Linked DNA regions of Lepisosteus oculatus. The protein of the gene in region 2 interacts with the protein of the main gene of each other region in a pairwise test. Links are inferred from orthologs where the notes say so. Each region holds a gene or a part of one and is shown on either strand. Other genes may lie near its edges.

What was found.
Region 1: the proteins of exosc8 (region 2) and poldip3 interact in a two-hybrid assay, tested with the Homo sapiens proteins (2 studies listed by BioGRID). The link is inferred for Lepisosteus oculatus from reciprocal best matches to the Homo sapiens genes EXOSC8 and POLDIP3.
Region 3: the proteins of exosc8 (region 2) and dusp23b interact in binary tests that used the Homo sapiens proteins (3 or more experiments, as listed by UniProt). The two-hybrid records come from large-scale screens. The link is inferred for Lepisosteus oculatus from reciprocal best matches to the Homo sapiens genes EXOSC8 and DUSP23.
Region 4: the proteins of exosc8 (region 2) and slain1a interact in binary tests that used the Homo sapiens proteins (3 or more experiments, as listed by UniProt). The link is inferred for Lepisosteus oculatus from reciprocal best matches to the Homo sapiens genes EXOSC8 and SLAIN1.

What each region holds. Positions count from the first base shown.
Region 1 is NC_090707.1:39,126,551-39,133,675, forward strand, and holds the start of poldip3 (polymerase delta-interacting protein 3), read left to right. Parts: upstream 1-4,120; 5' UTR 4,121-4,166; coding exon 4,167-4,231; intron 4,232-5,823; coding exon 5,824-5,987; intron 5,988-6,456; coding exon 6,457-6,788; intron 6,789-7,061; coding exon 7,062-7,125. UniProt on the Homo sapiens protein: Is involved in regulation of translation. Is preferentially associated with CBC-bound spliced mRNA-protein complexes during the pioneer round of mRNA translation. Contributes to enhanced translational efficiency of spliced over nonspliced mRNAs.
Region 2 is NC_090700.1:15,732,033-15,738,983, reverse strand, and holds the start of exosc8 (exosome complex component RRP43), read right to left. Parts: upstream 3,023-6,951; 5' UTR 2,974-3,022; coding exon 2,957-2,973; intron 2,440-2,956; coding exon 2,403-2,439; intron 1,971-2,402; coding exon 1,907-1,970; intron 1,650-1,906; coding exon 1,576-1,649; intron 1,065-1,575; coding exon 1,019-1,064; intron 901-1,018; coding exon 795-900; intron 360-794; coding exon 314-359; intron 160-313; coding exon 63-159; intron 1-62. Other genes in the region: alg5 (dolichyl-phosphate beta-glucosyltransferase), read left to right, coding at 3,574-3,639, 5,826-5,997, 6,934-6,951. UniProt on the Homo sapiens protein: Non-catalytic component of the RNA exosome complex which has 3'->5' exoribonuclease activity and participates in a multitude of cellular RNA processing and degradation events.
Region 3 is NC_090697.1:25,229,733-25,236,871, forward strand, and holds the start of dusp23b (dual specificity protein phosphatase 23), read right to left. Parts: upstream 3,016-7,139; 5' UTR 2,786-3,015; intron 1,303-2,785; 5' UTR 1,291-1,302; coding exon 1,021-1,290; intron 452-1,020; coding exon 266-451; 3' UTR 125-265; coding exon of another isoform or gene 103-124; 3' UTR 1-102. Other genes in the region: tdrd15 (tudor domain-containing protein 15), read right to left, coding at 5,848-5,918, 6,656-7,139. UniProt on the Homo sapiens protein: Protein phosphatase that mediates dephosphorylation of proteins phosphorylated on Tyr and Ser/Thr residues. In vitro, it can dephosphorylate p44-ERK1 (MAPK3) but not p54 SAPK-beta (MAPK10) in vitro. Able to enhance activation of JNK and p38 (MAPK14).
Region 4 is NC_090710.1:17,006,365-17,014,334, forward strand, and holds the start of slain1a (SLAIN motif-containing protein 1a), read right to left. Parts: upstream 3,015-7,970; 5' UTR 2,397-3,014; coding exon 1,918-2,396; intron 1-1,917. Other genes in the region: scel (sciellin), read right to left, coding at 4,332-4,348, 5,547-5,649, 6,480-6,588, 6,679-6,750, 7,592-7,654, 7,881-7,943. UniProt on the Homo sapiens protein: Microtubule plus-end tracking protein that might be involved in the regulation of cytoplasmic microtubule dynamics, microtubule organization and microtubule elongation.

The DNA.
Region 1 (7,125 bases), on a different chromosome or scaffold from region 2:
ACACACTCACTCACACACCAGAGCCAGTTAACCCAGTGTGGGACGCAACCGGAGCACCTGGAGAACAGCCATGGGGACACGTGGGGGGACCATACAGACTCCACACAGGCACCACCCCAGGAACTGAACCCAGGGCCCCAGTGCTGCTAAACAGCAAAGCTGACCCCTGCGCCATCGTGCCGCCTGTATGGAGTACAGTCTAGAATTATAGAGTAAAGTGGAGTAAAGTGGAATTTAGCAGAGTTGTTGTGTATAGTAAGATGCAGTTTAGTGCAATGTGTATAATACAGTCCTGCGCATTATAGTACAGTAATGTTGAAACATTCAACAATCTCTCAAGCACGTGATATTGTTTAATTAAAATACTATTTCCTGAGTGGTTCGTTCATGTTTTTGACGTGCTTATTTATGTAAGCACTCAAACTGGGCTGACCTTTTCTATCCCACATATTTTGAAGCGCAAATCTCACAACAGCAGACTCTGGATTTGTGGTAATTAGCGAGGTTGAGGCTAATTGGTGACCCCTGTTGCCCCCAGACCCAAATCGTCGTGAAATCCCCACTGTGGAATATTTCAGTGTCCCAGAGAACAAAGGACCCTCAGTCCTGCAGCCACAATCCGCGGCCAGTCGCTGTGGTTTAGATCAGCCTCCCGCCACACAGACTGAGGCACTAACACCCTCTGAGGCACGTAACACCCTCTGAGGCACGTAACACACTGCACACACACTGCACATAGTCAGCACAGACAGTACTGTACACACACACTGCACACAGACAGCACAGACAGTACTGTACACACACTGCACACACACAGACAGTACTGTACACACTGCACACACACAGACAGCACAGACAGTACTGCACACATACCGCACACAGACAGACAGTACTCAGACAGAGAGGTACCAGGATAGCAGGCAGGCAGATCTACAGAAGAAAACCAACAGACCAACAGGTACAGACAGGGTCCAGGGAGCTGAACCTGGCAGAAGTACCAGACTGCGTGAGACTGATGCAGAAAATCGAACGTCTGCTGTGAGCACATGGACAGGCAGTTCCAGACCTGGGTCTTACTATTACTACTACTATTATTATTGTTCTTAGTGTTATTATCTGTGTCCTTAGCTCCTTGTGGCAGCAGTCCCAGGTACTCTGGTGTGTGAGAGCCCAGTTCCCCAGCTGGGGGGGGTCACCGGCAGATTAGCGATTAACTGGTCTTGTGAAAAGTTAATTCTCTTGTAGAGTTAAACTGGGCATTACTGACTTAAACCACTTATCAGGCAGGCGCAATTAATGGAGAGAGAGGAGAAGAGGGACTGAGGGGCACAGAGAGAGGAGAAGAGGGATTGAGGGGCACAGAGAGAGAGGAGGAGAGGGATTGAGGCACAGAGAGAGAGGAGGAGAGGGACTGAGGCACAGAGAGAGAGGGGAGAGGGACTGAGGCACAGAGAGAGAGGAGGAGAGGGATTGAGGCACAGAGAGAGAGGGGAGAGGAATTGAGGCAGAGAGAGAGAGGGGAGAGGGACTGGGGCACAGAGAGAGAGGAGGAGAGGGATTGAGGCACAGAGAGAGAGGAGGAGAGGGATTGAGGCACAGAGAGAGAGGGGAGAGGGATTGAGGCACAGAGAGCACTACAGCCCCGGTCACCCCTGAGAACCAGTGAGCAGAGCTCCCAGCACCACAAGACCCTGCTGAGCCAGAGCTGAGCCCAGAGAAGAGCCCTCAGCCAGCTGGTCCTGAAGCTCACTGACAGCAACACCCACCACACACACAGCACAACACAACACACACAGCACTGCGTCCCCCACTGGGACACACACACACTGGAATGTCTCAGGATCCTAAACAGAAAATAAACACCAGCTGAATATTTTCAATTCAATTCAATTCAATTCAAGGTGCTTTATTAGCATGAATATCTGACCAGGGTGAGAGTCAAGGAGAAACAGACCCCGCTGAAGTCCAGAGGAGGAGGATGTCCACGGTCCCGTGGGGCTGTAATGCCTCTATCCGCCCAGGCGAGGGAGCTCCCCGCCCCTGGTCAGCCGGGCGCTGCGGGGGCGGGGGCGGGGTCGGGGTCGGTCTTTCCGAACCGGACAACAATCACCGCGCTTTCAGCACCGATACCCGACCCGCTCCTCGGCGTCAGCCGCCGGCCTGCTCCGAAAGCGATCGTCAACTTACTAAACCTGTTCCCCCCCAGCCGAGCTCAAGAAAGGCAGCGGGTCGAACTCGCTCGCAAAACCGTTTCAGTGACACTGCCGACGTCTTCATCGGCCCGATCGACTGGACACACCGCCGCTACGATACCAGCGAGCAATAACAGAGCGAAATCGATATTTAGTCGCTCTTTAATTCGGACTTCCTTTCTGTTTTTGGTTGACAGTGATGGGGGTCGGGGCAGATCACGTCGCCGCCGGCATCCCGCAAAGTAGGCAGGTCACCTGGCAGCTCCGACCTGTACCCGTTCAAAAATTGCTCTCGCTTGTCGTGGCGAGGACTCGGGCGTCACCCCGGGTCGTTATTTTCCTTACTCATTAGTTTAAGGCATGCCGGGTACAGGGCGAGGAGAGGGAGCCGGCCCGGGCGCCGAGCTGCCCCGGTCAGGGTGGGAGTGAAGGAGCCGCGCTCGCCTCTCCGATATGACGCTGAGGCTAAAGGTGGAAGTCAGGATTGTGCGCTGATGTGGTGAAAGGGGATTAGAGTCTATACGCGTCTTACAACAGGTCAAAAATGTACAAAAACGACTATCCTCGCTGTTATGCAAATTTACGGTCTAGCCGCGGAGGTCTATGGGAGAAGTTGAAGGCGTTTCCCCCCGGCGTGCATGATGGTAGTTGGAGTTCTTTTTTTCCTTTTCCCAGCGGCATTACAGGAACAGATCTATGGACTCGGTCGTTAGGACTGATCTTCTTATGTGACTTAACACTGCAACAGATGAGGACGCCCGACGTTTATGAGAGCAGTCAAGCGCATTGATAAAGCAGTTCTGTGCTGTCAGAAAACACGGGTGAGAGTCGAGTCGACGAGCTCGGAACAGTGGTGAAAGGGTAAAATGTTTGTAGATGTTATACTGATTACACATGCTTTGGCAACACTGTAATTACCAGTCATGCCAATAAAGCTGTTTGAATTTGAAGACTTGAGTATTATTGGCTTTAAAATCAGTTCAAATATAAACAGCATTAAAATTATTTTACCACAAGCAGTCACTTCAGGCTGTGAATTCACATCAGTCAATGTCATTAATATATAATTATAATTCTTCTGCACACCAAACTCATAGCGCTGTACAGGTAATGGGGATCCCCTCCACCACCACCAGTGTGTACCCCACCTGGATGATGCTCCAGTCTGCTCACACACACCAGCTCTCAGTGGGGAGGAGAGTGATGAAGCCAGTTCAGAGAGGGGGGTTATTAGGAGGCAATGATTGGTAAGGGCCAGGGGGTAATTTGGCCAGGACACCAGGGTTACACCCCTACTCTTTTCGAGAGACACCCTGGGATTTTTAATGACCACAGAGAGTCAGGACCTCGATTTTACGTCTCATCTGAAGGACGGCGCCTGTTTACAGTCTAGTGTCCCCGTCACTATACTGGGGCATTAGGACCCACATGGACCGCAGGGTGAGCGCCCCCTGCTGGTCCCACTAACACCTCTTCCAGCAGCAGCCTCAGCTCTCCCAGGAGTCTCCCCTCCAGGTTCTGGCCAGGCTCACACCTGCAGATATGGCTGCTGGCAATAATAATTAATATAGGAAACAGAGCTGTGTTAATTAACCCCAGACTAAACTCCACTCAGAGCTGATCAACCTCCCCCTTAATCCACCTGATGAAGCAGTTTCTCTCTCCTCGCTGAGCTGTGTGCGCTGGGGGGTGAGGAGGTGTCTCTGAGCTGTGTGCGCTGCGGGGTGAGGAGGTGTCTCTGATCTGTGTGCAGTGGGGGGTGAGGTGTGTGAGGATCAAAGTGACTGTTTTTAACACCCATTAGGTCTGTCTGTGTTAAATATGTTGAAGTTTAACCCCAATGGCATTCAGGGATGTGGGGGTGCTGAACGCTTCGGCTCTCTCTCCGGCACTGTCCGTCCCTCCGCGGCCGCCGTAGCGCCTGGGTCCTCGCGCTGACTTCCCCCCGCCCCGCCCCCCCCTCACAGTGACAAGATGGCGGACCTCTCCCTGGACGAGCTGATACGGCTGCGAGGTCTGAACGGCAAAGGAAACGCCAGGTGAGTCCGAGCCGTGCGACGGGAAAGAGCCGCGTTTGTTGACGGGGCTCTGAGAGGGAGCCGAGAATTTGTGTTTGTTGCTGTTTTGTTTTTCTGGATATTTTCGCTTTGTTGCAAACCGTCGCGTCTCCTGTTTAACACCTCACTGGTGGGGTCCCGCCTCCCCGCTCGCGGCTGATTGGCTGGACCGCCTTGGGTTCTGTTCCCTCATTGGCTCTTCCGGCCGGGCCAGCGCCTTGATTGGCCGAGCTCGCCGTCCATCTTCTCCTTCGAGAATCGCGTCGACCAAATTCGCTTTATTAAAACAGCCCAAAACAATGAAAGTTAACCGGCTGAGCACGTCTGCTCGGTGGCAGAACAAAGAGAGGGGTACGGGGGGCTGTAGGAAGGGATAAGGGCCGATTAGCGGCGCGGGCAGAGCTGTGAATCTCTCACATGGGGATTTTATGTCCTTGTGAGACGCACATACGTGGAAATGTCCCGAACTCCACTCCCGGATGGAGAGGCGTGATCCGCTCACGGGAGGTGCCGTGGTTTCGCCTGCCGATGGTGTGTAGCGCAGGGGGGGCAGAGGTGGGGCCGAGCCAGCGGAGGGGAAAAGGACAGAGTTTGAAAGCCGGAGGAAGACCCTGTAAAGGCCGCCTGCTGCGGCAGTATGGCCGTACGCAGACGCCTCTGGTCGCCATGGTGCGGCGGCCTGCGAGACGGATGTCGGGCAGGGGTCTCCGGATCTGAGCCTCTTCCTGTCGGGACCTCAGGACTCAGTTCACGACTTCAGAGCTGTGAAAGCAGCGAGCTGCAAGCTGAGACTGGAACTACCCCCCACCAAGGCACGCTGTGCACAAAGAGTGGGGGGTGACTGGAGCACATTGGCCCGCCTGTGCTGTGGGGGCCGATCCAGGGGAAGGTTCAGGGATCAGTGAGCTCCCAGCAGCCTTGCAGATCCCAGGCAGCTCCCACCATGACAGCCCGGGCCGCCAGGCGTCAGAACAGCTTCTGCCCCAGAGCCGTGCGCCTCACGGTCCGCTCACTGTGCACAACACGCCTCTGCACTCTGCGCTGCTGTCTCGGGCGGCCATGTGCTTCTGTTCCCTGCCACATGGTTAGTCAACAAAAAACATGATATTTATGATGTCCCATTTTGCAATGTACCATTTACCTAAATCTCCCCCTGGCCTTTACCGGTCACGGCCTCCTAATAATCCCTGTCTGCGAACTGGCTCCATCCCTCTGCTCTCCTCCCCACTGAGAGCTGGGGTGTGGGGAGCGGACTGGCGCATCATCCAGGTGGGGGTGGAGGGGATCCCCACGACCTGTACAGCGCTGTGAGTGGAGTGCCCAGAAAAGCACTTGATAAGTGTAAGGAATTTTATTATCACTCTAATAATATTATTACCACCTCCCTGCTAGTGGCCTGCTGTCCCGAGAGATCAGTGCGATTGAGAGTCCCAGTGGACACGTACACACGTGCTGCGCTCGAGGGGTTTCGGTCTTCCAGAAGCCGTGGGTGTGCAGGCGTGTGTCCGGCGCTGTAGCTCAGTGTGGACAGGCAGGACAGCGCTGACCTGTGTCTCTTGCTCTCTCCCTCTCAGACCGGTGGCGCGCGGGGGGGTGCGCTCCCGGATCGGCCCCCCGGTCTCCGCCTCCGCCTCCGTGCCCCCCCTGCTGTCCCGGGGGGCCGCGGGAGCCGGGGCGGGGGTCTTCGACGCCAGGCAGAAGATCGGGGTGACGGACGCCCGCCAGAGGCTGGGAGGAGGTGAGGCAGTCGGGGCTCGAACCCGGGTTCTCCGAGCGCAGGGGAGGGGCCCCGTTGGCTGGTCCTGGCCGCGCTGACCGGCACCCGCAGTCCTGTCGGGGCGCACACAGCGCTCCTGTCTTGGGGTCTCGCCGAGCTCCTCGTCTCGGGGGAACGGTCTTGGACTGTAGCTGCTGAGGCGCCTTTAAAACTCCTCACTCCCAGCGGCTTACAAGAAAACAGTTCAAACCAGTTAACAAAGACAGGAGACTGGCACAGCTGGTGATACACTTGAGCGTATATAATACCTTTAGAAGTAGCTTCGCAAAATCACTTCAGATGGAAAGTAAAAGAACAGTCAAAGCACACAGTGACGCAGAGCTGGCACGATGCACCGAGGGACGGGCCACAGGCACCGACCCCATAACAGCAAGGCCGGTGTGGGAGGAGGAGTTTTGAGTCTGGGCTTTTCTCCGTGTCTGTCTCCCAGCCTCGGGAACGTTCCCCCTGAAAGACGCCCGCGAGAAGCTCACGCAGAAGGACGCGCGGCTCCGGATCCGGGGCGCGGTGCAGGACGCCAGGGAGATGATAAACTCGCGGAAGCAGCAGCAGCAGCACGGCCAGCCGGCCGCCGTCAGGACGGCGCAGATCCCCCCGCACCAGCAAGGGTTAAACTCCCGGGTGGGCGGGGCCCCGGCGGTGGGCGGGGTCAAGAAGGTGGTGGACGCCCGCGATAGGCTGAGCCTCAAGCGGAGCATTGCCGTGGCCACGCCCACCGTGGGGGCGGCCATGCCCACCGTGAAGATCACCAAGACGATACAGGTAGGTTATTGCCTGCGCTGGCCGTGTCCGGTGTCCGGCAGCTCTCACAGGTCACCGCAGGCCACCCACCCACTGGCACTGCTGACCACAGACGGACCGCTCCGCGGGCCTTGAACTGGGTGATTTATCAGTGGCCAGTAGATCCTGCGGGACTGGGGCTCGGTCCCCCTGTTGGGAGCGCCGAGGCGTCCCAGAGCTCCCAGACCCGTCTGGGGAGGTCACCCTGGCCTGACACTGCCCTGCACTCTGACCCCTCTCCCTCTCCTCTGGCAGCAGAGGCCCGTGGGACTGACCAGCGGCGTCCGGATCAACATGGCGACGCGATCGGTGCCGGGAC
Region 2 (6,951 bases):
ATTTTAAATAACTGCTTATTTAAACTGCTTAAGTTTTTCATTAAAATAACTGTTATACATACCATTTTTAAGAGCTGCTATCAGGGCTATAATACAGGCATCCAGAATATTGCCATCGTAGTCAAGACACATAATGTCACAGTACAGGACCCAGCAGAGCTAAAATACAGAAAGCTGCAAATTACATTACAGAAAAAAATATATACACTGCAAATTATAATAAATATAAGCTGAGGTTTAAAAAAGTGTGAAGAAGTCTTAAGTAATTACTTTTAAAACATTGTTAATAGCTGGAGATCAAGAGAAAACCCACCTTTCCTTTCTCAATACAAATGTCTTCTCGTCGTATTACCTGTGAACTATAAAGAAACCAAAATATGTTTATATAGATAAAGTGTGATCAGACAACAGAACTTGAGAAACGGAGAATAGTTTAGTTTTGAGTAGTTCAACAGTGCAAGACAACTGGAAAAGTCTTAAGAGACTGTGTCTTCAAGCTGATTTCTATAGATCAGGTGTGGTCCATCCTAATCCTACAGAGGCAAAGATCAGCCTTAATTAACTATTTCTGATTACTTAAAGCAAATATAAAACTGTGGACTGACTTTCAGTTTTCTTTATTCTTAAGGGTCTAAATTACTCACATTTAACCAAGTGGTCTGGGTAAGTGGGACATTTTCCCATGGCATTATACATTCTTCATTCAAAAGTGATCCAGAAAACCTACTGGACTGCTGCTATGCCGAACAAGGACGGGGTAACTTTGGTATAAATGCTGCTCTGGGGCTGAATACCTTTCAATGACATCTGCGATAAACTGACTGGCTGCCTGGGCTTGTTCTCCTGGAGGACCAGGGCGAAACCGAGAGGAACAGAGGGGCGGCAGATCGACATTGGGAACTGAAACAAACACGAAACAAGCGTGCTGTAAGATTTACTTGTGCCACATCACCTGCAGAAGGAAGGTTATTCTATGTCCATACACCATAAGAAATTATTTTCTTGATATATGCCCTACCTATGTAACCTTTATTTGGTGCATCTACTGGTGGAGCTGTAAGTTCCTGCAACAGAAAAGGGGTGGGGACAAAAATCAGGGTGAAATGGATCCTACTTACAAATTCTCCTTTTCCAATCCCTCTGTCACACCAAGAGAAATAGTCTATAATTAATATTCCCTTTACTAAAATACTTGCCTGGGTGACTTGGCAGTCAGTATGCACCAGCGGCCTGACAATACAGCAGATCAAGGGGAAAAGTGATTAACCACTTCACCCATCACATTAACAGGAACTATTAAAAAGGCCAAATCCAGAGGGGAATTTAGACAGTGCACCTGGGGTTAATCCCCATACTTTTTCAAAAAGTGTCAAGGGATCTTTAATCAGTGAATAGTCAGCTTGATGAACATTGTTTAAAATAGTGGAAACCAGTGTACCTCTAAGAATATTATAGAATAACACTCTACTTGTATTTAACACTAACATGCAACAACAGAGATTTTGGTGGACACTAATGGACAGCTGTGTTATTGTTCTCACAGGTGTACAGTAATAGAAGTGTGGCTGGCCTTACCGCTTTAATACCACAGATGATGGTGGTATTCCCTATCTTCACTAAGGCAGAGCCATCAGCCGTTGAAACAGAACCTAACGAAGCGCATTAAGATACATTAGTCATCTACAAAACAACTTCTTTAGAGCAGTAATGAAACTAAAGTCAGTGACCATTCTGGTACAATGCCTCATCAGCATGAGTAGAGGATTCAAATCTTTTTTACACCTTGGTGTGTTTGAGAAGTTACTGAATAGAGATGCTAATTTAAAGCAAAGAGACTGTATACTATTTGCCGTTTAACTTCAATGGCACAGAGCCTTACAGTATATCAAGAACTGTGAATGCTCACCGATGTTCAATGTGGTGGTTCGGAATTCACCAAGCTCTCGTCCGTCAGGCCTGCAGTTCTCTTTCTAATGGGGTCGAACAATCCAAATCACTTAAATTCGCAGAACTTCTAGAAAAACTGTTTCATTTGACAACTCTTCATCTTAACCCTGACGCTTAACTCAGTTGTGAGCAATCATTACACTTCCAGTGCAAGTCTCTCAAGCTAATGTTTAATTATCAAAGTGATCCTTCAAAACATGGAACCCTTTTAAGACCATTTAAAAATGAATGCATTAATTTACCGGAAGATCTCCGGTCTCACCAGTACACAATGTATTGTCATTCGCGTTGATCATTACTTCTGTATTTCAATAATGGCTTTAAAAAATTGGCATTACTGTCATGGTATGAATGAACCTATACAGGAAGCAATTTACTCCTGACAGTAACTTACATCTACACGTAGTAAATTGTGTGTTGAGACTACGAAATACAGTTAGACAACCAAAACATACCAAAAAGCTTCTGTGGTACTCCAGAGGGTCTGCAGTTCTGAAAGAGGAAAGAAGTTACATTTTAAAGAGAAGCAAATCTCATTTTCTCTTACATTTTCCCTTCTGTCAAGACTTCACAACGCAAAAATAATCTGCCGGGAAAGTAAAAACGATGTACCATACGTGTGCGGCTCGATCTTGCATTAAAGCAACATACAGTAATGCTACATTATAGACAGGCTGTTCATTTGAATTTGGAACACTACGAATGACCACATTAAATGAATGGTTCATAAATGGAAAACTCCTGTTAAAGACACGAATGGAGCGACTCCCTGTACTTATCAATTGGTTAAATAATTTCACAACGCGGATTAGTTATGAATTAATACGATATATGCGTATAACGTTCCAAACGTAAATTATCTACAGTCCCGGTTTCAGCAGTGGAAATACAGCGATCTTATCAGAAATCACGATGTTCGGTGCCTGAAAACAATCCAATGGTATTCCTCATCTCCACTGAGTGGTTGAAATTAACTTTTCATACGATGGGGGAATTTAAATTCACCTACTTGTAACCTGCCGCCATGCTGCTTCCGTGGTGCACCACGTGAAACGGGTGGGCGGGGTGAATATACCAAAGATTAGCTCGCAACAGATTCGCGTTTTATGTACTTTGAATTTCTATATTTTTGCTTTATTTTACTTTATACGGGTTAAAAAAACGAAGCCTTTTTTAATTAGCTGCACGTAACGTGAAAAGAGGAAAATATCATTCGCGTGATGAATGAGGTAAATGTGATATGTGGGGGGGGGGGGACGCATCTTGATGTTTTGCAATTTATAGTACTCATAATTGTATAATGTTAGTATGTTCGAGACAGATCGATATTTACGTTTTGAATTTTAAAATGTATTAGCATGAGAGCCAGCTCCAAACCGGTAGAGGCCGCAGTCGTATTTACCTTACCCATGTGTATTCGATGCCCTCTTGGATTATGATGATGTGTGCTTAACACTTGGGAAGTGGGAAACACTTCCGCGTCAGTGTATGTCAGTGAGGGCAGTTGTAGCTACGTGTAAAAAAAATGGTATTGCGGGAAAAAAATAGTTGATTGGTTCGATGTACTAGCATTTTTAGTTTTGGGGGAATACGGTTCATGTCTTTCTGTAGGCCCTGGAATGGAAAATGGATTGCTGTTTATGTGAAATCGTTCTAGCTTTTGCTGCTGTAGCCCTGATTTGTTTAATTTTGGTAAGTATGCATGGATATTGATATGTACATGTATATCATTTTAAGTCGATGTTATCATGGGCAGTACAAATGCGTATGAATTATCGCGATTTACGTTTACGGTAAATTATATTTTTATTTACAGCACTTGTATGCTGATGTGTTACCTCGAAGACACACTATTCTTGAGTAAATTTGAAACCAGTCCACTGTTTCTGATCTCCTTGCACATTAGTGGCATTTAACTTACAAGAACTATACAGTACCAGTAACTACATTTTATTGGTTTTAAAATGGTTGTGTCTAAGTATTGTTGTCCACATCTTTCTCCAAGGAATAATATTAAAACTGTTAAAACATTTAGGCTAATTCTGTATTCTTTCCCCTTAACGTATTTGGAATATTTGGACTTATTTGTGTTACTCTTGGATCTGAAAATAAAACGCCATCCGTGACACAATTACCTGCTTGTGATTCATTCATTCAACAGTTCCTGGTCTCACAGAGGTGCCAGGGACAATTGCAAACTATGAGCAAGCAGCTTTATACTTAACATGGTTTTAGCGCTAATGTAAATGGGTTTTTTTTAACTTCATGTAACTCTGGATGCAAAGCAGTGAGATAAATGTGTTCTTTACAGGCTAAATGTTAATATAGGTGCTCTAATGTCATTGCACAGTACGCTTTTTATAATCTCCTGATCACCAGTATTTTCTTCAGGGATCCCAAGTACCAGGGCATTGTTGTACCCTAAATTGGGAATTTCTGGGGTACCTGTGTAATTGCAAGTTTTCTAGATCTCAATGAAGGACCAACATAAGAAAATCTGGGAGGAGCTGTTAAATTCAGCTGATTTAGGCTGAAATCAGAAAGAGAACCTGCAGACACACCAAGCCACTGGGAGTAGGACTGCCCACCTCTCTGCTACATGCTGGGAAACAAAAGCTTTCCAGTCTGCTTTGTAGAATGGTTGTTAAATTTAAATGCCATGGAATATTTTTACTTGGGGCTTGCTATAACAAAACTCACATTTCAGTTGGGCACCCCTCCCTTTATGTACAATCAGATTATACTGGTATGTGCACTTTCATGAGTTGCACATTTATTAAGCACTTTTTCGAATATTGAAACAAACAAGGGCTTTGTTTTGTTTTCTTGATCAAGGCCTTTTAGAGGCAAAACAGCGCTGTTGCAAATTTTCAATAATGCCGGGATAAGAACATCTTGTCCCCCTCAAAGTACAGTAGTTGCAAGTTTCAAAATGAGATCTTGCTTTACTTTTGCTTTGCTTTACTTGGGAAAACCAAGGTTACAACTGTAATTTACTTATTTTAATTGACATCGCACGACAAGTGGGAAGCGATTTTTCTTTATTTCCACTGCATACCGAGTTGGTGACACTATTGATAGCTTTTCCCACGCTAGAGTCTCTCTAGTGTTTGGTTTAAGTTGTTGTTTGAGATAATTAATAAAGTGAAAATTTGAGTGAGTAGTATCTGGCGGAGCGGTGGCTCTGTGGCTAAGGATCTGTGCCTGTGGCTGGATGGCTGCCGGTTCAAATCCCACAGCCGGCAGAGGAATCCTACTCCATTGGGCCCCTGAGCAAGGCCCTTAACCCCAACTGCTCCAGGGGTGCTTTACAATGGCAGACCCTGCGCTCTGACCCCAGGCTCTCTCCCTGTCTGTGTGTCTCATGGAGAGCAAGCTGGGGTATGCAAACAGACAATTCCTAATGCAAGAAATTGTAAAGGGTTAATAAAGTGATACTATTATTATTATTATTATTATTATGTAGTTCAGGTGGGTAGCTGCGTCAAAATGCGTAGGCTGCAAAGAAACAAGTAATAGGTTTATTCCATGCTGAAAAAAAGAAGAAAGAGAACACAACGTTTTGGCCGTGGAGCCTTCTTCAGGTGTGGTGTGTGTGTGTTCCTCTACCGCCACCTGAAGAAGGCTCCACTGCCGAAACGTTGTGTTCTCTTTCTTCTTTTTTTCAGCACGGAATAAACCTATTACTTGTCCCTTATTATTATTATTATTAGAATAAGTTTCCACCCACAATGTACCCTTCACGTACAGGATTCTCCTGTGTTGTTAGTATTCATTTGTGTGCATTTCACGGTCATGGGATGACCCTTGTAACTCTTACTGTACATTACTGGGAAGGTTGACGAGTGGGTGAATGACTGTTCCTTCCTCCTCTGCAGGTGTTATTAGTAGCACATTTTAGTGCGTCTAAAATTGTTGACCTGAAACGTCACGAGAAGGAAAAAACTTTCCTGACTAATGAAGGGAAAAAAGAAGCTTTTCCAAGTCTCCACGACCCCCATTCCAAAGACCTCTCAGTGATAGTGCCCTCATACAATGAAGAGCAGAGATGTAAGTTTTCTTCCTCAAGAACGCTTCAGCACAGACTTCAGTGTCTGTAGTTTGTCCAGGTTTAAAGATTAATTGCTGTCTTTCTTTTGTAATGATGCAAACATGTTGAATCTATGGTTTGGAAAAAGGTGCAGTTCTAGTCAATTAAATGATACTGAGCTGTTTTAATTTAGAATTAAGTATTAAGTCTGCCAGATTTTAAAGAGCTGTAACCATCTTACACTGTTAAATTTCATATATTGTATCTCAGCCACTGTAGTTTGAGATATAAAATAACTTCATTTTCACCCTCCACATTCCTTACAGCAGAATAAGTCTGAGAAGCAATGAAGTAACCCTGCTTTGTTTTAAAGCAATGCCAAAAATTTTGATGTAATTCATTTAGAAGCTTGACAGCATTGCATTAATAATTTTACCAGTGCAGGTGACATGTTGGCACAGTGGTTAACCTTGCTGCCTCACAGCATTGGGTCCTGGATCCAGTTCCAGACCTGGGGTGCTATTTGTGTGGAGTTTTGTAGGTTCTCTCCATGTTCACTTGGGTTTCAGCCATGTCCTCCAGTTATTTCCCACAGTCCAAAAACATACCGGTTTGTTAATTGAATTCTGGGAAATGTGGCTCTGGTGTAATTTTGTAGTGTCTGTGTTTGTATATGTCTGCCCTGCGAGGGACTGGCATCCATTCCAGGATGTACCCTGCCTTGTGCCTGTTTCTTGCCGGGATAGGCTCTGGCTCCCCAGCAACCCTGAATTACAAGAAACAGCTAGAAAATGGAGTTTCACAGTGCTTTTTACCTGCCTTACCTGTTACAAAAAAATAATTTTAAAATGTTTTTTTTTTACAAAGTTTGTCAGATGCACAGCTATCGCATTCTCGGTTATACAGAACCGTACTGTTGAAAAACAAGTGACTGTGTTGTCACACTCTCCTTTCAGTGCCTTTGATGATGAATG
Region 3 (7,139 bases), on a different chromosome or scaffold from region 2:
ACACAGCTGCAGGTTGTGTCCGAGTTGTAAAACCTTTCAGTGTTTCTGCAGCTTTCAGGATGACACCAATTTTTTAGTTCTATCTCACCTCGTATCTGGCACTTAAAACATCTTGCTTGCAAGACTTCAGGGGTTATGTAGAAAAAAAAACATAATTAGTAACTTCCAAAATAAACTCTTAAATAAAACTCTTTTCCAATCATTCATATAGTATGTACAGCGCATGAAGTTAATATAAACATTTTCAGCTGCAGCTGTCTTAATTTTACTTTATGTGGTGATGAAACTGGACAACAGCCTTTTCTTGTTCATACGTTTCTATTGATCCTCGACGAATGCTTCTTATTTCTGCAATCGCGTCAACCCCAGTGATTTTCCTCTTCTTCACCAGGTAGCAGGCCAGCATTGTTCCTGTTCTCCCATGTCCGAGAAGGCAATGGACAGCCACACCCTTAAAAAAGTAAGATACCATTTACAAATTGTGTAACACTAAATGAATTAGTGAATTACCCTGTGGAGAAAATGCCTAATTCGTTTATTATGAACTCAGCATTTTGCTAACAGGGAAACCATGGTTCTAAAACTTTTTAGCTTAAGCTTTGGTGCTTACTGCACATGTTTAACAGACAAATTAGTACATTGTTTTGCTTACAATTATTGCCAAATGTCAAATTAACACCTCTTCTCTAAAAAATAAATACATATAGTTTATATAGTGACTACAAAGGCTGCATACAAGAGAAGGCCATTAGACCCATCTAGCTCATTCAGCAGTGCAGTAGCTTACAGACACGATGGTGTGACAAGAATCGTAACACAATCAGGAACCAATTTGTGCTTTGAAGGTATTCTAAATGTGCTTTCTCCGTGTATGATAACTTAATTCCACTTACAGCTTGTACAAAGGTAAAATAACTTGTCAGGAAACACCATGTTTCACATTGTGGTATTTGTTGAAACATTTTATCTGCTCTTATATGGGCCCATAAAAAAATGTATGCCATATCTCTGGGTACATACTTCACCCTTGGCGTTGGCCTCTTCAACAATAGCAAGGAACCTCTTGATCTGATCCATACTGGGTGGACAGAAGTCATCTATTTTTATGTGGTGCAGCGTCAGTCCCGGGCATGAATCATGATAAGGAGGCTTTCTTTCACACAGAGTCACCAGGTGCTTTATGCCGTTGTCCAGCAGGAACTGATAGTGGGCAGGCATCCGCGGTAGGGCCATCCCAGCCAGCTTCTTTGGCTCAACCCAGGAAAAGTTAGGTGGAGTTAGAGAAGCCATGACTACAGCAGCCTGAAAAATCAACAGCAGCAACCATGATTTTCCTGTCTCATACATTCATGTCTCCAATTCAACAGAAGAGAATGTTCTAATGCTTCATTGTACAATTGTGTAGAAACAACAAAAAAACAGATTCTATAGAGGAACCAGTATCATATTGACTAAGATCAGAAATTTCCAGTTACACTGTCGTATAACGTCTTTATCATCTACACAGACTTTTCCAAGAGACTGCTTTTTGGAAAACATTATTCTTGCACAATGAAGCACTCTTCAGTTTAATCCCTAGTTATGACTCACCCATTATGAAGCTAGACAGTCAAGAACACACCCAGAACCCCCAAAAATTCAAAATATTTTTACAAGGCTTTTTTCATGATCATGTTCTGTGATGTTTTGCTCCAGTATACTTGCTGCTTCCAAGAATTGAGTGAAACTGTACTGTTAGCTTTACATAGAGTTAACAGGGGTCTTTCTTGTACTATACATAAAATAATATCAATAAAATATGTACTTTTCTCAAATTGGATACTGGTCTAATTTATTAGTTACAATAAAAATCCGTTGCTTCCCGAAAGCTTTGTTTTTCATTTCTATTTATTTTGCACCTTCAGTCTTAAATTAGAGAATCCCCTTACAATGAGCAGATGGCAACTTCTGGATCTGTCTAAAGACCCCCATGCCATGTGACTTCCTTCAGCTGTTCAGAGAGGGGCGGGCGAGGAAAAGCTGACATTCAAATCCAGCCAAGTTCTTAACCAAAATTTCGGCAGTTTTTTTTCTTACAGCAAACCGGCACAGTACTATTTGAATCAATTTGATCAGATGTTTGCCGACTCGCTATTTTCAACGAACTAGCCAGCTACTTTACGCCTGTATTTGGAAATGTTATACCTCGAATCTAACTTCAAATATGCTTCAGCTTAAATATTTAACGACCACCACTTTAAGTAATCCCGCACCAAACATAACTACCACCAACGTGCATTATATGAACTACTTGTTCCTTAATACCCAATATCATGGAAGAGATGCTGAATTAGTACTTTTACTAGAAAGTGCTAATTTAATTATACATCAACAATGTTAAGAACGTCTAGCGTAGTGTTGCTCGTGCTGCTGTTACGAGTTTTTAATTCAATATATAAAATCCGTTCACAATTCGAACGACATTTTAAACTCAGAGATCATAAAAACATTTACACACCGAAAACGCTCTTTTTAAATTTTGTTTCGCTTTGGCGGTCGTTTCCGTGATCATATACAAGCGATACAGCCTAGTGAGATTTTAATATGACTGAAACATCTTGAGCAAAACACAGACATGACCCGAAGCAGAAGTTAGTTTTCCTGAGTTTTATTGGTGCATTGCTTTAGAGACACCGCCATAAATATACTGAATTGTATCGAAAACAAGAGCTTTAAGTTTCTGTAGAATGTAGTCAGCTAATTTAAATAGAAAAGCACAAAATACGAAAAACGCCATTCAACAAACCTCTACACCGCGGAGAAGAAAGGCTCATACGAAGCTGGACTTCAATCTCCTATGAGGACCCGGCAGAACCCCGGAACGTGTTCGCCCGAGTGACGCTCAGGAAGACCTATCAGGGACCAGCATCTCCACCAATGGCTGCGTCCTCCACACACACACAGAGAGAACACGGCTCCGGTTTTTACATCCTTTTAAAAAACAAAAGCTCGCGGATCATTCACAGATTAATTGTCACCTTTTTCGTTGGTGCACGAATGAAACTAAACGTGAAAAAAGATAGTGTGCAGAGGGACACTGAGCACTGTTCGCTCAACGTCAGGATGGCCGAGCGGTCTAAGGCGCTGCGTTCAGGTCGCAGTCTCCCCTGGAGGCGTGGGTTCGAATCCCACTTCTGACAAGCTTCTTTTATCGCCATGCAACAATAAAAACACTTAATTACATATACAATAAATATTTTTTTCTAGTGCATTCAAAATATTCCATTCTAGAATTATATAAAAATAACTCTATTAATACACACTTATGAACAATCTAAGATAGGAGACTCATTACTCCTAAGAATATTACCATGGCAATTTCATTCAACATTTCTCATCCAACTGGTGTAATTTTTATTTCTTTATGACATCCTCTGCAAAACATCATGCAGCACAAATAACATAACAGTTTGTATATTAAAATGATCCCCTGCCCCTATACCACAAAACATCTCCCTAAATTTGTATATAAGAATGTATGTAACTATCAGAAAATACTATGCAATAGCAACTCACATGACCCATATAGAGCATTCAGTCCTGTAGCAGGAAAAAAAAAAACTTAAAAATGTTTCTTAGTTATACATTCCCAAAATACATATAACATTACATTTCAGGAAGTAAGCGAACATTGCAAAGAGTCACTTCTTTGAAACTTTATTATCCAGAGATTTTTCTAAACGTAATGTCCAACTCAAGAAATCTGTAAGAAGTATGCCATTTAGAATGGCATAGAAAGGTACTGGAAACCTTTGAAGGGATGTTTGGAAAATGCATATTCATATCTCTTTAAATATTGTGTTATGGTTTGTTCGTGATCAGAATTACATCTATGTTTTAAAAGAAATTCTTGGGTCTCATTCACCTGTGTGAATTCAGTCTCCAGACAAGGTTAGATGTTTTGTTTGATTTTTTAAACAAAGAGAAATCATTAAATCATTAATGTACATATTTATTAGGGTTTGAAGAATTCCAAAAAACAGTAAATCTAAGCAACAACTCAACTTCCATAAGTAGAGTTAAAAGCATTTTTTTTAACCCAACAAAAAGAACAAGGTCAAACTGATTCTGCACAGTAAAGTTCCCATACTGTATATACAAACATATAGAAAGAGTTTTAGGACCCAGATCAAAACTAATTATAATGAAAGGCTAAAACAGCCAGTTAAATTTATTTTTATTCAAATGAGGTGTTAAACAAAACATTTATGCACGGTATAAACAAAAACAGTCACAGACACAACTGAAATGTTCTGCATTACCAGCATACAGCCTATCCAGTTAAGGACTGGAGCTGAATCACCCCTAACTTCTAACCCAGTCCTAGTGAACACACCAACTGTGAACTAAGTAACTAAGAGCAGGAACTTTAAACTGGTTAACATAACATTACACCTTGCTTACACACCACTATAAGGATATTCCTCATAACAGATGCATCTATAATTAGTTCAAGTTATTTACTTATTCACGCATTAATGAAGTACACATCCCAGTACTGAGGTATGTGGTCTATTCAAGGTTTGACAAATAATTACTAGAAAATGTTAGTTCACGATGGGGAGGGCAGGGAGGTGAAAGAACAAAAAAGCAAATGTGATCCACATCTGTGACCAATTAAAAATAATATAAATTCAGCAATTCAGGGCGTTGAAGAGTGTATGTTATTCCTACATTAACATATTTTATTGGATAAAAGGTACATGCATTGCTTAATATATACCTTGATTTAAATGTTTCAAAGTTTATAGTATAATTCTAAAAAATTCATGTCTGTAATGAAGACCAGTAAATGTCACATAAAGATCAATAGTCACACTCAGACCACATAGTTTTGAAAAAGGTTTTACAGCTGTAACAAGTCAAAGGCACAGTATTAATTAAATCAACCAAGAGAATATTCTATAATTCAAAAATCAAAATAACTTGTATTCAACTTTTTGATTGAAATTTTCATTCAAAGCTCATAATGCACATCAAAGATTCTTGGCACAAAACCAAAACATTACCAAGTACATTTTTCAGTACAAGAACTAGAACAATATGGCAACACTTATCTAAAAGGAAATCATAAATATAATCTATAAAATCTATGAAAGACTGAAACCTTCATAGCTGGAGATGAAGACTACATATGATTTTTGAGTATATTAAGATGCAAACCAAGATCTGAAATACTGAAAATTGAAAATAATAATTAGTACTCAATCTTTACACTTTTAGTCTACACTTTGCACTGTAGAAGTCCTACTTAATCTATTCTTATTTAAAGCACATTGTGAATAGAGCAGGAGGAAACGTCTGAACACAACCTGCCATTTCAAGATGTCATTAAATTATGAGATTAAGGAAGTGGGTATTTCCCACCATCAGAAAACATTTTTTGGACACATTTCCAGTGTTTTTGGCAAATAAGGGATGATTTTAAGGCAAAATATATGCATTTTTCCCCATGTAAAATACTTAAGTGGAAAGAAATCACCATTACATTTAATCTGTGATGAAATAATTACAAAGCTTGGACATCAACTATATAAAATGATACAACTTATACAAATACATTTGTAAGAAATAGTTGTCTGTTCTACTATCTAAAGAAGTTTCCACAGTAGTGGACAAAGTATCTATGCCTTGACCATATCACACATCAGAATAAGACGAATGCAGGTTTTCATTGTCAAAGTACACACCTTAAAACAAAAACTTTAGGCAATTCCTAAAATCACAAACATGTCATAAATATTGAGCAAACGTTCAGCAATTCATTTACACTGCCAACCCAAACTAGTGAGGTTAGAAATGAAACTTTTAGTAGCCGATTGTCTTGTAATAATCTCCCAGATCTTCATTTCTGCATCCTAGAATCCACATCACTTCAGCTGCAAAAAAAGGCATAGAAATATACTATTTAATATTATTTACTTAAACTAGAAATCTAGATACTATGTACTATGATATTGTGGTCATATCAATTGACACCAACATACAAAGTAACTTTAAATTATAGTGTCAGCCAAATTAATAACAATTTACCATCACTTCTTTTTTATGCAAGCTGTTATGTTTAAATACATTATGCAGCAGTTATTGAAAGAATTAAAAAATGGCATCATTCTATAGTACACATGAACAATAAATGATAAACTAACCGATTTCTCACTATACAAAAATTGTCATATTAATAAAATGTAGTGCAACCAAATAATAAAACCCATTACTGTAAAAGTACAGGCAACAAGCTACCTGGTGATATCAATATTGTGAATTTAGTATAGTTAAGACATCAACAGCTCAGAGGAGAAAATTAAAAATGGAAGATGAGCTAAACAGCTTAGGAAGTTAACTAAAAAAATATAGACCTATGCATCTCTCATTTTAGTAACTACTCGTAAGTAAAGTGCTCATTTAACAAAGGATGAGTGAAGTAAATTCTTAAATGTTTAAGAAACAAAGATAATGAGTTGTCACAACAATTTGCTTTTCCCCCACTGAAACCGGGACAAAACTGACTTAGGAATCAATGCACCGATATATACGATTCATAGCATCTATATTGCTAATTCCCAAACCTTAACACACTGTTTAAATATACCGAAGTCATATGTAAAACACTTACCCTGCTTGGACAATGGCATCACTTCGGTGAGCTTCTCCCTCTCTCTTGACTGCGGATCTTGAAAGCGTCTTGGCTGAAGTTGAATTCTAGGCTGCTCGGAGTCATCAGCTCTGCCGTAGCTCTCTAGTTTGGGGTATACATTGTTGCTTTTCTTTTGTGTAAGCGAAAGTGAGTGCCTGACGCTTCCACATATTAAGCTAGATGTCTTTGGTGAAGCATCCAAAGCAGACTCAGGACATATCTCCTGCTGCAATCTGAGTCCAAGGATACAGTCAATGTAAGCGGCATGTCCAGCTTCAACCAATTCCTTAGCTATATTCACACCATTTGACAGGATATCTACTTCCCACAGATTTTCAAACACACACTGTCTAAAATAAATCACAAGATTTCTCGCAGACATGCATGCCTGGAAGAATACTGCAGCTTCATCTGTCCAGTGTTCCACACCAGCAGGATTAACCCCTCTAAGAATACAGGGATA
Region 4 (7,970 bases), on a different chromosome or scaffold from region 2:
GAATTGGCTTCATTACTCTGGTCTCCTCCCCACTAATAGCTGATGTGTGGTGAGCGTTCTGGCGCACTATGGCAACCATCGCATCATCCAGGTGGGGCTGCACATTGGTGGTGGTGGAAGGGAGTCCCCATTACCTGTAAAGCGCTTTGAGTGGAGTGTCCAAAAAAGCGCTATATAAGTGTAAGCAATTATTATTATTATTATTATTATTATTAAAACAACAGCTCATGGAATAACTCCTGAAGAAGGTTTCCTCTTGAAAGTCAAGATGGAGTGCTGTAAGGCTGAGGTGATGTCTGCTCAAATTAATTGCTGTCATTTCATGTAGTCATTCAAAGGGTGTACTATCAGGCTGGCTGAATCACTGTTTGATATCCTATCCATCTTCATACAGCTTTAATTCTATTTTTCTTAGTGCAGCACATACATTGTGCTTCCATCTCATGCAGTTATTTTACTTATCTTGTACGTGCATGAAAGTTGCTTGCATTTACAGTAAGTTTTCATTTAATCTGTTTTTCCCTGGATAAGATGTTCAGTTAAGCAAACAAAGCTTCCGCAAAGCTCAAGTGTGGAGGCAAAGTAAGTGTAAACAAAGGTCTGGGTGAAACTTCAGCATGTCCTGGCCTATTTCCTTACTGTACCTGCTCTAAAGGAACCAGTACAAAATGACCAGGTGCTTTGTGGGACTTTGAGTAATGTCCTACATCAGCTAGTTAAAACAGCCAAACCTTTTCAGTCCTGAACAGTGAAGACCGCTATGGGACTTGATAAAAGTATTCAAAATCTTCAAGGACTGTAACAGTCAGCATAGGGGATGTTCAGAAATGCAGTGAAATCTAAACTAGAGGACACAGCAGTGGAACTACACAGAAGTGCATTTAAAACCAAGAATGGAAGGCACTGTCTCTGGTAAAAGATGGTAGGAGTATAGGACAACCTACCCAGCTATGTTGTTGAATTGGATAACCTGGCTTCTCTCAAGAAACAGCTGGATGACATCCTTGAACGATTTGGCTACTATCAAACAGGCTAGATGAGCAGAATTATTGCAGAAGCCAAAGTAGTAACAGTTCTATGAATTATTTCAGTTAATCATGGGGAATGTAACAAAGCAGAGGACACAGATTTCAGGAGATCAAATGAAAATAAACATCAAGCAAGTCAATACAATCTAGGCCTAACTCTTGAGAACTTTAAAGAAACCAACCAGAAGTATTGCTTTAAGACTAGGATGCCACTGAGTTCTCTTACAATAAGACATATTCCTAGCGCTGCTGCTGCTGTAAAAACTGTGCTAAATGTTCCAGAACACTGGATACATTCAGCTACAGCTTACAAAGCATTACTGCAACGGGATGTCTGGCACCAGCATAGTCCTTTCAACTTTAAGGTTGGGGGAAAAAAGAACTCAAACAGAAATACCAGAACTACAGAAATTAACGAAGATGAATACTTAGCATTTCAGTAAAATGGGAAACCCATTTCATAAGCGTTTTAGAAAATGACTGCACGCCCCAATCAAGATGTCACATCATACAAAAGTCAAAAAGGATCATTGTAACATTCTTCCTTTTTCTAAATCAATTCGCCACCGCATAGTACCAAGTGTGTACCTTGAAGGCCTTCTGCAGTTGTCAAATGTTGTTCATTCAAATATAGTATGATACATTTGAAACCTAGAAAATGTTTAACTCCCTCAATTCCAATAAGCTTTCACCACAAAATGCATCTTTTGCGCCTATAAATAATATTTCATTACATTTATACTAAACCCAGTGGGCTGCATTGAGGTTGTACGGATATTTTTGAAAGGGGCTTGTGCAACAGATCAATGACCAGTCAGTCCAAAAAACAGTGGTAACGAACAAAACGTCAACCGAGCGCCAACATGGGAGTAATTTAAATCTACAGTACCAGGTGTAATCATTCTCCTCATCGCTGCAGAATACGGCATCGAGGTCCAGTACTTCCACCTCATCCAGAATTGTGGGCTCTGTGCTGTTGTTGCAATCGTCCTGTGCCACAGCAGCAGCTGGAGAATGCGGGTTGAAATACAAGTACTGTTCCTCCGAAGGGCAGTAAGAACCGATTGCTGACGGACACAGGAGCGTCGGTACCGGGCTCGGAATACAGTAACTCCCCGTAAATACCGGGCTGACGACTCCCCCAGCTCCCACAGGGCTCCCGAGCAGACAGGCCGGGGAAGACTGCAGGATATGCGGGCTGACAGTACAACTACTTACGGCGTTTGCCCTGGTCCTTAGCTGCTCATTTTGCATCTCCAGTTTTCGTACCAGTTCCTGCAGCTTTTTCACCTCCAGCTCCGCATTTACAGCTTTATTCTTGCAATTAACGTCCGCCATCATTTGGGGTTTTAGCACAGCGGCTTCCATTGAATTAAAAAAATACACATAAGTATTATGTAGCTATATATAAATCACTCCTGTAAAAAAATGGTGGACCGGGGTTGCGTCTCCCTGCTTTTTTCCCTTGCCTTCACTGAGATTTGTGCATTACGCTGAACCAATTGAGCAGTGCTCCCATTCTACTGTTGCATTAAGATGCTACGCCAGCCACCCCCAGCGAAAAATAAAGACGCTGTCTCCTCCCACAATGCCAAGACCGGCTTCGGAATGATGAATCCAGCGGACCTGCACAGGCTCAAATAGGGTTCAGGTGCGGCCAGTGCAAATCTGTAACCAAATGTAATAGTGTTCTAGACTCAGTTCATTACACTGCTGTGTGTGTGTGTGTTTTAAATGAGAGTCCACTCCTGTATCGTCACATGCTGTTGCGTTTTTGTAACCTACATACCTACTGTATATGAAGGAGGTTATTTATAGCTGGAAAACTTTTCTCCCCACGAAAGCTACAATCTGAAGTTAGTGCACCTGTGATGCAGTCTTGTGCACTTCTGCTTATGGAGCTAGCGAGGATAAACGTCTGCTCCTCAGGCTGTCTTCACTGTTAAAGCTTTCTTGGCGTCAGATGAGTATAAATAGCCTTAAATGGTTTTGTCCGACGTCTCAATTATAGATCTCAGCCGGTATCTAGGTCGTCTCAGGGATAATCCTCGTGTATTGTAAGAAACTGGTCTACGTCGGTTTGAAGTTTCCACACAACGGCAGTGTGCCCAGTTGACCCAGGGGTCTACGGAAATGTTAATCATACTCCTTGTTGATAATACGGCAAATGTGTAAAAAAAACAACATACGCTTTTTTTTTTTAGTAATTACATAAGTAGTGTTGTGAGGTGAGGTACTCCACAATGGTACTGACGCTAGATAAGCGTCAGGGTATTTAACATTTTCGCTCTACACGAGCTGGGTTTTTTATAGATCTGGTGCGGCATTCTGCCTCGTTTTATTTGGGCTGCAGCTGATACCTAGTAGCTGAATAGACTCAAATCCTCGAAAGCTAATGGGCAATGATGGACGCATTCTAGGGTTGAGTAATTTGAATTAGTCATTTGATCACGGTGCAAATGTTATTGACTCATTTCCATATCAAACTAAAACATTTGGACTGACATGGATTGATATAAACTTCAAATCAATCCTCCCCCTTTCTGTCTTTTCAACCACCAACATTAACCAATATTAATATATTCACATTACAGAATTAATACAATAATTTGAGAGTTTTTCCACAAAGTTCTTTATTGACTTTTTAGTCAGTTGTTTCAGAAAGGCTTTAGCTTCTATTTGACTTAAAAGATAAACCATACTATTAATATGTTACCAATTGGATATGCTTTTTAAGAGTAAGTAATCAAAGTGCATTAAATGTGAGGGATAGCCATCTAAAATCAGTAAACACAAAGGTTAATAGTTCCCTTCCACCTATCATCTGTCTTGCCCCATTTATATTAAAGTACAAATCTCTTAATGATTCAAAGATGTCTTAGTAGGTATTTGTTATCATTTACTGTAACATGGTTATAGGGAAAAATGGACCCACAACCCATAATTAGGAGACAGTTAGAAATGTATGAATATAATTTTAATTTCTTCTTGGCTTCAGAACTCGTTAGGGGAAACCATTTTTCCAGAATTAAAAAAATAAACATTCTAAAATGAAACCAAAAAAAACCCAACCCTAATGAGCTCTGAAGGCTAAGAGAAATGCTTAGGTACATTACAGTACATGATTCAAAACACCAAGGAATTCCTTTTCAAGATACACACATTGTGGGGTTATTTTGTACAATTTTAAAGGTTGTGGACCAACTTACAAATATTTGATTTATAATTTTAGATATTTAATATTTGCAGACATTTTGTGGCTTCAGGATATCTTGTCATTTTGCATCTTCTTTTACATCTTGTTCAGCGACGCCACTTTTCTAAAAAAAAACAAACAACACTAACTATGCATCAATGGCATTAGAGCACTGCCACTTCACCAATACAAAGAGGCTACTGTCACTATGGACAGTACTGCATATTCTTTACAGCTATACAACCACAGATATACCAATCTACAAAACATTTATCACTTTAAAATATGAAATCAGACATTATAAAGGTGCTAAGATGTAAAACAGTGATAGGTTACTAGATGTTTATGAATTCTTGCAAGTGATTTCCTTTCGAGTAAAAAAGAAACAAGGATATGAGCAGCATTAATATTATGTTAGCTGTATACCTGCTATAACTGTCACCTGGCATCTTTCAGTAACGCAGATGAAAGAAACCCCCTTCCTTAATGATTAGACCTTACACTCACTCAGAAGAACAGATGCCTTTAAGTCTCATGTGCTGTAGTACTGCAACTGATGATGGGGATAAATCTCAACCTTCGTTATTTTGTTGGCCACCACAGCATTTTGACTTAAAGCCAGGCAAGCAATTATCATTGTTTCTAAAATGACGTTTGAAATCATTCTAATGGTGCAATCATGTTAGGGATTCAAGATGTATTGCCTAATTTTCAATACTAGTACAGTATTATAGAGCACTGTTCTTTATCTGGGACCCCCAGGTCTGAGATCATCTTTCTGGGTGTGCAACACATGCCAGATTCTTAAAGAGATGCAGTAAATGATCAAAAACACAAAGTACCTCCATGACTTTTGATAAGGTGTGTGAGAGCAGATTTTGGGAACCAAAAGAGTGCAGGTTGCAGTGAAAGGTAAGAACCACCGATATAGAGGACTGTGTATAGTTAGACATGTTGGACACCTAAAACCGTGAGAGTCCAATTCAAGGAACCAGGGTAAAAAAAATCACAGGGTTTGGGCTTACACAACTAATAAACCAGAAACTGATTTAAAAGATTTAACAGAGGATTTGTAATCCTCTGTCTTTTTTTTAATTACTAAACATGCAGAGACACAGAGGACACTGGGTTAAAAATGTTCAGTCACTGCTGCAGCAGAAGTAATTCTGAAAAAGTTACATAGCCAGTTCAGCACAAAAGTGATCTGCCACACAGTAGCCGCTACTACAAAGTTACTTGATTCCCAAAACCTGAGTGATAACAGCCCTAATGCTCTCCCAGTGCAACCTGCATTCACTCATGCTGTAGATGTTGGGGATTACCTCTAGTCATTCCAAAGCAGCTCTCACAGTGCACAGTGCGTCTGTAAATCCACATGCTGTCTCCCGCCTTCAAGTGCCCCAGTGAGCTGTTGCAGACTTCACACTAGAAGAAAGTGAAAAGTACGGAATTAAACCTTGAAGTTTGGAATATGATACTCTACTATAGAGATCTATTTGATTTTTTTTTCTCTAAAAAACGTTAAAATCTTCCAAGCCGGTACAGTATTCACCATCGAAAGCATCAACCTGTGTGTATTGCTTTTGAGACCCAATGTCACCGTTTGTAAGAACTGTTACCACCAAATTCAGGAGCATGCATATTCTTTGTTATCTTAAAACAGGACATTTTCAGCAGTTTGGTAGGTAAAGTACTGAAATACTTTAAAAGAGGATGCAGGTGCTATTTTTTATTCACAGCAGCCAACCCTTATGTTCATGTTAGACTGGGACCTTGGTTTGACCTTTCCCTACTGCAGTTTTAAATTAAGTGTTTATAGAAATTTGGGTAATTTCAGGAATTTAACGTTTTTCTTTTTCCTTTTATAAATAGCTGTCATGAGATGGTCCTTATTATTTTCCACTTGTTTTTTTGGCTCGTGCCAGCAAAATGTTTCTTCTACATGATGTATCTGAACACTGAGACACTGCACTGGTAGATCCATTGGATATGTGAAAATACCATCAGAAAACAGGCAGAGGCCTTCAAAGATGTTGAAAAATGTGAACCTCTGAGAAATAACCTTTAATCTTCTTTTCGTTTCACAAGATATATTACCAGGATTCATACAGTATATATGTACCATATTTATGAATAGCTCATACAGTATATCACGATGCTATATAAAAATCATCTTTAGACATTTCTGCTCTAAGTCCTTAACTAGCTCTACATTAACAGAAACCAAGAACAGGTACATTACGCCTCTTCCTGACCTTGAAGCAGGAAGCGTGACAGCATATCTGCAAATCATCCAGGATCATCTTTGCTTCAGTGTTAATGGGCTTCCGGCAGTAGGTGCACATGTCTCTGTCAATGATGCTCCTATAAAGAAATCCCAGGCGTATTATGTAGTTGAAGTCAGTTGAAATCACTGGTATTTTCATCGCATTGTTAAACAGAAATCAGTCAAACCTGTCGGAAGTAGAATAAACTGTCTTGATTGATTTTGATGAGAGCATGTCATCATGGAAGTCTTCCGGCCTGCTGTTGAAACAAATACAGTAGGTACATACTGTATTTACTGGCAAGCTGCAAACTACAGCATTCGTTGAACACAGGATCCATGTGAATCTTTACTTATCGTGCATCAGTGATCGCATTAAATAATATGGTAACTTTAAAAAGTGGCTTATTAATCTTGTATGATTTTAAAATATTATGTGTCCATTAAATTAAATAATTTAACATTAATTATTCATTTTCATGGATCACTTGTCTTTCAAACTAATTATTAGAGCTTCTGATAATCTTCTGGACATCTACATCATTATCTGTACAAAACATACAAATGACATGACCGCTGCTTTAAATTAACCTAAACATGTATTGCATTATTAACCGCCCACCCTAATTTATTTTATAACATTAAAATATATCTCAAAACATTGAATAAATGTATGATGAAGAGCTGCATGACATAAATGCAATCTAAATGACACATTATCCAACACATTTTGATAGCTGAAATTTCAACCAATCAATCATGCAATCAGTCAAATTTATGAGTCTTTTATAACTGTCAGGAGTTGACAATAGTGGGTAAGTCTCTGATCTCACAGCTGGTAGGTTGTGGGTTTGACTCCCTGCTACAGATCTACACTACAGTACCCTTGTCCACCCCACTGTGTACTGTACATGGGGACCAGCATGGCTGGGGTGGTCATCCCTGCCATAGACCAGTGTCCTATTAAGGGGAGAGGATTCATGTTCTCTCTTATCCACTGAACACCAAGGAAAACAGGAGAAGCTCTGGTCTGATGAGCTGATGGGTCGGACATAGCAAATGACAGTTAGAATCGATTTAAAAATCCAATTAAAATAATACCTGCTTTGAACATATGATGTTTTGGTATAGACCGTTGGGCTGGATTCACTGCTGGTCTTGTAACTGAAAAGAAAAGAGCTACGGTTTGCTAAATATATCACAAACTGCATCACAGTTTCATAAGCATTACATGCTATGTCTTAGGATAGGTCAACATCAGGTCGTCTGTTGAGTTTCACACAAAGCAGGGAGGTCAGTGTGATAAATGTTATACTGAGTTAAAAATGTGATGATTTTTACTGTGTCCCACAACATTTCAAAAAGTATTTCTATTTTCAAAAAGTGTTACCTGGAATCACTCAGCTGACTAGAGTAGCTCCTGGGTTGGCGTACCGCATCAGTGTAGTCATAGCTGGATGAACACAGTGGAAGAAATAAC